Saccharomyces cerevisiae S288C: one gene and its partner. The gene in region 1 interacts genetically with each later gene. Each region holds a gene or a part of one and is shown in the gene's direction. Other genes may lie near its edges.

What was found. A genetic interaction does not mean that the proteins touch.
Region 2: mutations in ECM8 (region 1) and NCR1 together harm fitness more than expected from each alone (negative genetic interaction), as found in Saccharomyces cerevisiae (2 studies listed by BioGRID).

Annotation. Positions count from the first base shown.
Region 1 is NC_001134.8:387,750-391,791, forward strand, and holds ECM8 (Ecm8p), read left to right. Parts: upstream 1-2,477; coding exon 2,478-3,542; downstream 3,543-4,042. Other genes in the region: PFF1 (Pff1p), read left to right, coding at 1-1,467. UniProt on the Saccharomyces cerevisiae protein: May be involved in cell wall organization and biogenesis.
Region 2 is NC_001148.4:543,078-549,398, forward strand, and holds NCR1 (sphingolipid transporter), read left to right. Parts: upstream 1-1,553; coding exon 1,554-5,066; downstream 5,067-6,321. Other genes in the region: transcription factor TFIIIC subunit TFC8, read right to left, coding at 1-771; AEP3 (Aep3p), read left to right, coding at 5,409-6,321. UniProt on the Saccharomyces cerevisiae protein: Involved in sphingolipid trafficking. May recycle sphingolipids between cellular membranous compartments.

The DNA of each region.
Region 1 (4,042 bases):
TATACCGGGCTTTATCCTCTCTCGATTTTCTTTCTTCTGAGCACAATAGCTGCTATATTGAGACTACTTGCACTAGCGTTGGGAATGAGAACAAGGAAGAGGCTTGGTAGAGAATGTAGGGACCATCACTCCAATTACAGCTCCCATTCTCAAATAGATATGGAACGAGACGGTCAGGAAAACTTGGAACAACCCCAAGATCAACTTACATCGTCACAAGACGATCAAGCAAGTATCCAAGATGATAATGTGTCAACTACTTCAGCTGGCCCATCACATAATGTTGACGAGGATCATGGTATGGATTCATCGTCACAACAACATGATGAAAGGGTACCATTACTGAAGGGGTCTAATAGCATGGAGGAAGGATTGAGTACTAGAGAAAATTCTCTAAAACTTGAGTATACCGATTATGCCTGGATCATTCAATTTTTGCTAATTGTACCAATACCATCATTTATTTTGTTTAACAGTGTGGATGTTATCATGGACGCACTAAACCATACTGTCCAGGAAGGAAGTAAGGCTACATTTGATGTACTCAGGTTCGGAATGGTGGGCAGTATTTTGATCGCGCTACCAATTTTACCTTTTTTCTATAAGGTCAACTATATCACAATTTCTTTAACTGCACTGCTTTTCTTGATTTCCGCATCCAAAACGCTCCTAGTGCACCCCTTTACCAATAGTAACCCATTAAAAGTAAGGTTTTCTCAAAATATTGATTTGTCTCAAGGGAACGCTGCCAGTGTACATGTCCTTGGAAGAGAAGGAAATTTTTTAAAACCTATGCTGCAAGATTTACCAAGTATAAAATATAGCTCTACACATATTAACTGTACTTCCGTAACCAATGGAATGGAACTTTGTATGTATGATGGAATGCAACCTAATTTATTGAGCACGAATGGAAATACGAACATCAGCAGTATGGTCAAGGTTCATGTTTTACATAATAACCGAAACTCAACAGAGAGATCTCCTTACGAACCAATAGTTGCAGAGTTACTTTTGGAGGTGAAGGAGAACAGGGCTTGCACTTTAACTTTTGAAAGTAGACATCAGGCGAAGTCACCTGTCAGAGAAATCACGGTATATCAAAAGAAAAATTCGGCCCCACAGAAAGCTAATATCACGAAGACGATCAAGTCTGCTTCTGGCATAAACGAACTGCAATTGCATAAACTTGATTTCGATCAGGAAACTTACCATATCGGAGTCCAGTGGTTTCCAAAACTTTTGACGGATGGAAATGTAGAGGATGACAAGTTGGGGACAAAAGACGAACTGTCTGTTTCTATTAGCTGTTATTGGGGAGAATATGATTCGGAATCGGTTGTAAATGGTACCGCTGTTAGGAAAATTCCAGCATTTGATGAATTGATAAATTACGCACCTCTAAGTTTTTCCTTTACCAACGAACAGAAAGGATTAGTTATTGTCAAGGATGCTATAATTTTATAATTCTAATTAGTTTTAAATGTAAATTTTTATAAACTCAAATTCGCCTACTGGGGGAGTTGTCCAAAGGCTTCGCTTCTTCCCACAAGAAGAACAAAATAATAAAAAATATTTTGAGAAATTTTTCGTAACAAAAGGAAAAACTATTGAGTTTAACTTATGAATGTACTTTACTGGCCAAGAATCCGTCTGGAACCATTCTACGGTGCTCTCTTCGTAGCGCTAAAGACAGCTATAGTGGATATTCAGACGGTATTGAAAATCACTAATGATATCAGTTAACAAAGTAAGAAACATGTTTCGTCAGATAAGTTCTACACTGCTGCAAGTGCATACAATGCTCGTTTTTATAAAGTCCTAAATTATATAACCCTCCAGTAACTATTAGAAAATAGCACGCAATAATGCTAGCGATATACAAATAACCTGTAAATCTATATATTTATTAAGTATAAAGATAATGGTCTTGGAAATGGTTCTTCAGGGATTGTGATTGACTATAGCCGGATATCGTTTGGATCAAGAGCTTGGTTAAGCGGATATTTAAGTTATTTTAATATATCGCTTTGTCCAAAAGCAAGTTTTGGAGGTGGGATCTCAATTTACACGATACAGTATTAACCAAATCTTGATAGCAAAAAAATGCAAAATATCGTATAAGTGAAGGCAAAGCATTGTCCAATGTAAGGTTCTGTGCCGCCCTTCCCTTTTTTGAAAGCTGCTAGATATCATTGTTACCCTTTTTAATTTCTACGCTATTCTCGGACGTCATAATTTTATAGTTACTGACACTAAAAAAAGGGTCGTACGTCTTACTGGCAGCGCCGAAAAATGTTTCGAAAATACACCTTAACACATTGAAGTAGTGATGATTTCATAAAAAACCACAAGAATTTGTTCGCTAATACATTAATTCGGTACTAGACTTTATTGACTCGTATATTTCTAACGAATAAATCACCCACTCTTGCTATCCTAACAGTATTTAATATTAGCTATTTAAAAGCCTTAAGATGGACTATGGCTACTTTTTTCCCGCACAACGTATTGAAGAAACAAATGGTGTGGATTTTTGGATAGACAGTAATGCTGAATTTACACAGTCTAAAAGACCTGACTCTTCAACATCCACTCTTTCGAGGGTTTTAACGGACACCACGAATGTATCCAATAATAGTGGATCACTCAAAAGAAAAACCATCAAGAACAAAATATTCCCACAAAGGAAAATATTCAACGATAGCGAAAATTTTGACTTTGGTAAAGCCAACACTGATTGTAAGCATGTGTTTAAAAGTATTTCTAAGCAACTGATTTTTCTTCCAAGGTGTTTCCAACATCACAGTATCCGAGGCTGGATGAAAGACAGATACTCCGAATTTGGTTATAAAATAAAAAGAAATCAAAATTGTCCCCCCTCAGCATGTGTACAGGCACTATACAATACTAGTAGATCCAATACCGAAGAGTCAAACCCCAACAGTCTGGATTCTCTGATAATGTATAAATACATGCGATACTCTGAAAAGAAAAAGGAATTGATGTGCAGATTTTGCCAGGGGAATAATTGGATTCTAGCTGAAAACTACCTAAAACATTTATTCTTTGCGCACGGCATTTTGTCTGAATTTAAGCCTCACACTTTATACCATTTCGAGTCTAAGCTGTTAAAAATCCAGGGAAAACTTAATTTCAAAATTCAAGTATTAAAAGAGCCAGAGTTTAGCAAAAAAATTTTGAACTCTCTTACTGTATCCATCATTCCCTCTCCTTTGGCCTACTACACTCAAACGTTGAACGGGGGATTTAGGAGAATCCATGTGAAATGCCCCCACTGCGAAAATTGGATCCGTTTGGGTTGGTGTGAATACGATGAAATCATTAGGGATTCCTTTCAGGATTTCGAGTCTCTAAGAAACCTCAATGCTGATTATAATGGGATGTCGTATATTCAAACACGCAATAGAGAAGACATTGAAGGTATATACGAGAATTATTTTACACACTACATCCAATGCGACTTAGCCACGTTCCGAACGAAATGTTTATATGTCCAAGTTATAACAAAAAGCAATTGATTGTGTACGCAAGATATTAAAAATAAATGATCATATAACAAATCAAACAAAATTTGCCGCTAGTAACGAACTAAACGATTACGAGACGGCTGATAAATACTAATATTCACCATCCTAGCGAAGAAACGCTTTAAATTTATAACGGTTACCATCCAAAATAATGAACATAAGCAGATCTGGCACCGTAGCAGCTCATTGGGGAAAAAAAAGCTGTCATGTAGGGCCCTCTGAGCATAATAAAAAAAGAAGATGCTTCCGTTCAATAACAGCGATAGGTAGATGGGGGAAAAAAAGGAGAGGAAGATGAGGCCCTTATGTACGTGCATATATATGTGCGAGTGCACGAAAGTGCACCACGGCAATCCGCGTAATCAAGCTTATGTAAATGGCGTGTCTGCGTAAACTCTGTCCCTGCGAAAATGTGTTTATTTATAGACTGTTCGCATTGTTTTTTCCAGCCCCCATCCGGAGACGCATGAAAAGGTGTGGCCTCGATACAT
Region 2 (6,321 bases), on another chromosome or scaffold:
AATTGAATAATTTTTTAAATCTATCTTATGCACATATCCGGGACAAGTTAAAACCACCTTATAATCCACTATCTTTAAATCAGTAATTTTTCTTCTCGAAGCATTTTGTATCATTCTAGAAACGGGTTGATGAGAGGAAGCAGAAACTGTCATTGAAAATACAGAATTGTTTGAAAGCGCCGCTACAAGAACGTCTTCGTACCATACTATATGAGTGACCCAGTCTTTTGAGCCTGCGTCACTTAATCTAATACTACTCTCAAAATAAAATTCTGGAGTATTTTCTGAATTTTTGCGAATGCTAAAGAATTGAAGCTCACCGTCTTCATTACCAACCACGATTGATGATTCAATAGGATTCCATTCAAAACAATGGTAGGTTCTGCTACTTAAGTTTCCTTTTGAATCGAGATTTGTGAGCATTTTGTTATCTTTGAACACAGAAACATTACCATTATTGCTCAATACGGCCATCCAATCGTCTATTGGTGATGGCTTACAGACTCTGGGATAACAAACAGGTTGTGAATTTAATAACCCATTCTGTTGCGCCAGCTCGAAATCCAGTTTATTTTCAAATTCTAGCGGGAATTCTTTCACATGAAATAAATTCTTACTGTTGCAATTAATGTCTTTAGCATATTTTGGCTGCCCAATGCTAATATCAGGAAATGTGGTCAAATATAGAGTACCATCCCGAGCCCATGTTAAATTGTTCTTCCAATCCTCAAATTCCTTTCTATCTACCAATAAGTCCTTTAGAAGCTTCATTATGAATTGAATTGGCTTTCCTAACTCCTAACAAAGTTAGTCATGCTGCTTTTTTCATTATATATAATTCTGTCTAATCATTGTTTAGATCTCATTATTGAGAAAAGTGCGTTGCGCGTAAGAAACAGAATACACTTAAGGTGCGAAATGACGGAAGAAATACGCCATTTAAAGCCTTCCAATACGAAGCAAAACTTCAAAAGCAAATGCTGGGAAGTTGGATTATCTTTGGGAAGGTCTATTTCCTTTTTTATTGAAATAAATCATTCAGCTAATTGCATACCGTGGCTAATGTCACAACAGATGTAAGCAACAATTTAATCTTACATAAATGTGTTGCAGTTGTGGTATTTCGTAATATATACGCAATGATTCTCTCCTATTATTGAACTGCTATGCAGGTATTCGCTACATTGTTTTTCTACAGGCAGTCGTCGACATAAATAACTTGTATAATCATTTAAGCGCATCCCAGTAATTAACTATTACCGAACGATAGAGTAGTCAAGATATTCTCTTCCCATCACTAACATCAAGAGCGCCACTTTTTGGCAATTAAACTAGACTTCTGGATGGCGCTAGCCCATTACCTACAGTACTAAAGATTATTTGCGATATTCTGATAAAGAGCCTTGAACTTCTCGGGTGACCCCCTTAGCGTTTATATAGCGGGAGTGCCAAACGAGAGGAACATCAACAACCAGTATAACAACGTTCTTGTGTAGAAGATAACTAAATTCATCTCCAAAAAGAACAAGAGCAGAACTTCAATTAGTAAAACCATGAATGTGCTATGGATTATAGCACTAGTTGGCCAGCTGATGCGGCTCGTTCAGGGAACAGCTACCTGTGCCATGTATGGGAACTGTGGGAAAAAGTCAGTATTTGGAAACGAATTACCTTGCCCTGTGCCACGTAGTTTTGAACCTCCTGTTCTTTCAGATGAAACAAGCAAACTTTTGGTTGAAGTTTGTGGTGAAGAGTGGAAAGAGGTCCGTTATGCCTGCTGTACTAAAGATCAAGTGGTAGCACTGAGAGATAACCTACAAAAGGCTCAACCTTTAATTTCCTCATGCCCAGCATGCCTCAAGAATTTTAATAACCTGTTCTGTCACTTCACTTGCGCTGCTGACCAAGGAAGGTTTGTCAATATTACCAAGGTAGAAAAGTCAAAAGAAGATAAAGATATTGTTGCGGAATTAGACGTTTTCATGAATTCGTCTTGGGCATCTGAATTTTATGACTCATGTAAGAATATTAAATTTTCTGCTACCAACGGTTATGCGATGGACCTAATCGGAGGTGGTGCTAAAAATTACAGTCAATTCTTGAAGTTTTTGGGGGATGCTAAACCTATGCTTGGTGGATCCCCCTTTCAGATTAATTACAAGTATGATTTAGCAAATGAAGAAAAAGAATGGCAGGAATTTAATGATGAGGTTTATGCTTGCGATGATGCTCAATATAAATGTGCGTGTTCTGATTGTCAAGAGTCTTGCCCCCATTTAAAACCTTTAAAAGATGGCGTGTGTAAAGTTGGCCCTCTGCCATGTTTTTCCCTTTCTGTTCTGATCTTTTACACAATCTGTGCACTTTTTGCATTTATGTGGTATTATCTCTGTAAAAGAAAAAAAAACGGGGCAATGATTGTGGACGACGATATTGTTCCAGAATCAGGTTCCTTAGATGAATCAGAGACGAATGTATTCGAAAGTTTCAATAATGAAACTAACTTTTTTAATGGTAAACTCGCTAACCTATTTACGAAAGTGGGACAATTTTCCGTTGAAAACCCCTACAAGATATTAATAACCACTGTTTTTAGTATCTTTGTATTCAGTTTCATCATATTTCAGTACGCTACTCTTGAAACAGATCCAATTAATTTGTGGGTGAGTAAAAATTCTGAAAAATTCAAAGAAAAAGAGTACTTCGATGATAATTTTGGGCCATTTTACAGGACAGAGCAAATATTTGTTGTGAATGAGACAGGCCCTGTGTTATCATATGAGACACTTCACTGGTGGTTTGACGTTGAAAATTTTATTACGGAAGAGCTACAATCGTCAGAAAATATTGGATACCAAGATCTCTGCTTCAGACCAACAGAAGATTCTACATGCGTAATAGAGTCTTTTACTCAGTATTTTCAGGGGGCCTTACCAAACAAGGATAGCTGGAAAAGGGAACTGCAGGAATGTGGGAAATTTCCTGTAAACTGTCTACCTACTTTCCAGCAACCTCTAAAAACTAATCTTCTTTTCAGTGACGATGATATTCTCAATGCGCATGCGTTTGTTGTAACACTTCTATTGACCAACCACACTCAATCAGCTAATCGCTGGGAAGAAAGATTGGAAGAGTATTTATTGGATTTAAAGGTCCCCGAGGGCCTGAGGATCAGTTTTAATACCGAAATATCCTTGGAAAAAGAGCTTAATAATAATAATGATATCTCGACCGTTGCAATATCATACCTGATGATGTTTTTATATGCTACATGGGCCTTGAGGAGAAAGGATGGGAAAACTAGGTTGTTACTTGGAATATCTGGTTTACTCATAGTTTTGGCTTCTATTGTTTGTGCAGCCGGATTTTTAACTCTTTTTGGTTTGAAGTCGACATTGATCATAGCAGAAGTAATACCGTTTCTAATTTTAGCAATAGGAATAGATAATATTTTCTTGATTACACATGAGTATGATAGAAATTGCGAGCAAAAACCGGAGTATTCAATTGATCAAAAAATAATAAGCGCTATCGGGAGAATGTCTCCTTCCATTTTAATGTCATTGCTATGTCAAACCGGATGCTTCTTGATAGCTGCATTTGTTACAATGCCAGCTGTCCATAATTTTGCTATATATTCCACAGTTTCTGTTATATTCAACGGAGTATTACAGCTAACAGCGTATGTGTCCATTTTGTCTCTCTACGAAAAGAGATCCAATTATAAACAAATTACCGGAAATGAAGAAACTAAGGAATCATTTTTGAAAACGTTTTATTTTAAGATGTTAACGCAAAAGAGGCTCATAATCATTATCTTCTCGGCTTGGTTTTTCACATCTCTGGTTTTCTTACCAGAAATTCAATTTGGGCTAGATCAAACATTGGCTGTTCCACAGGATTCCTACCTGGTTGACTATTTTAAGGATGTTTATAGCTTCCTAAACGTAGGACCACCGGTTTACATGGTCGTGAAGAATTTAGATTTGACTAAAAGACAAAACCAACAGAAAATATGTGGTAAATTTACAACTTGCGAAAGAGACTCATTAGCTAATGTACTGGAGCAAGAAAGACACAGGTCAACAATTACGGAGCCATTGGCTAATTGGCTGGACGATTATTTCATGTTTTTAAATCCTCAAAACGACCAGTGTTGTAGATTAAAGAAGGGAACAGATGAGGTTTGTCCTCCCTCTTTTCCAAGTAGACGTTGTGAAACTTGTTTCCAGCAGGGTTCTTGGAATTACAACATGTCAGGGTTTCCTGAGGGCAAGGACTTCATGGAATACCTAAGCATATGGATTAATGCGCCTAGTGACCCCTGCCCTCTAGGTGGTCGTGCGCCATATTCGACTGCGTTAGTTTATAATGAAACGAGTGTGTCTGCGTCAGTTTTCAGAACAGCTCATCATCCTTTGAGATCCCAAAAGGACTTTATCCAGGCGTATAGTGATGGAGTTAGGATATCAAGTTCTTTCCCCGAACTAGATATGTTTGCATACTCGCCGTTTTACATTTTTTTTGTTCAATATCAAACTTTGGGACCATTGACGTTGAAGCTAATAGGGAGTGCCATTATCCTAATTTTTTTCATTTCATCTGTTTTCTTGCAGAATATACGCAGCTCATTCTTACTGGCTTTGGTCGTTACCATGATTATCGTAGATATTGGTGCTTTGATGGCCCTACTAGGTATCTCACTCAACGCTGTCAGTTTAGTCAATTTAATTATTTGTGTCGGTTTGGGTGTCGAGTTTTGTGTTCATATTGTTAGATCATTTACAGTGGTCCCCAGTGAAACCAAGAAAGACGCAAACTCAAGAGTTCTCTATTCCTTGAATACCATAGGTGAGTCCGTCATCAAAGGTATAACTCTAACCAAATTCATTGGAGTTTGTGTACTTGCATTCGCCCAATCGAAAATATTTGATGTATTTTACTTTAGAATGTGGTTTACACTAATCATTGTAGCAGCATTGCATGCTCTCCTATTTTTACCTGCTTTACTTTCATTGTTTGGTGGTGAAAGCTATAGGGACGATTCCATCGAAGCAGAAGATTAGCCATAGCAGATTATACTATATTTTACGTAGTGAAAAAATAGGTAAAAATTCGTTAATTATTCTGATGCCACACCAGAAAATCTGTGGGAAAATTTTTCGAGTCAGAAATGATAACACTAACACAGGCTTCGTTGTTATCGTGCATTGAAGTTAGATACTTCTACTATATTTAATCTTTAATAGTGTCATAAAAGTATTATTGGTTTCGGGCGAAAATCGTCATTTTCGCACACAGAACTTCAAAAGAGGAAAGGCCAAAAGAACTAAAACCGATTACTTCGGGGTGATTTTGTTCTGGCATCTTCTGGCACTCTTGGGCATCCTTAGCCATTTAGTATATTTATGAATACATTAAGGTGTTTGACACAAGCACTATCCAAAAGTGGGAGAGAAGCTCCAAAACTATATCAGAAAGTAATATTTCCAGGCCTGTTCAGAGAGGGTATACCAATTGCAAATGTCAAGAAAGTTGATGAAAAAATAATAGATAGCCCAACATCAACGTCAGTTAATGGAGAGGCAAAAAAAATAGTACGGCATGGTGTGAAGTATGAAAGGGAGCAAGTTAAGGAATACCTTTCAAGCCTGCCGACTTTAACGCTTTCTAGGAAACAAATTAGGGATGACTATGATGAGGAACGTGCAAAACGAATGTATATGTTCTCTAAACAAACGAATTCCTCGAATAAATTCCAGAAACTTCTTACAGCAAAGTCTCAAGAGTTTACTAGAGAACTATTGACGCTACTGATAGATTGCACATCGAATGAGAAGAATTCAGGGCCAGAACGCTTCACTCGTAAGTTTCTTAAGTTTAGTAATGACGAGATCCCTCCTCTCCCTGACTTTTCAAAGAACCCTCAATTGTTTGAAAATTATATTGGAATACTAAGTCATACAAAGTTCAATTTTCGTTCATCTTCCAAACTAAATGGTATTGTGCGTAAGATGCTGCGGCACCTACTTCATCCAACCAATAAGACGACTCTGCCGTTGCGTTCTGCTCAAGTTTATAATGACTCAATATACTTTTTCAGTGAGCACTTCGACTTTGCGTCTTGTAGAGAAATATTTGCACAAATGAAGGCTGAGGGGACTAAACCAAATACAATCACTTTTAATCTTTTACTGCGTAATGTAGTGAAAAACTCGCATATTAGAAAAACGAAGCACCCTGACGATGAGGTCCTTTTTTATCTTAGAAGTATGCGTAATCATGGAGTTTTTGCAGATGTAATAACTTGGACGACATGTT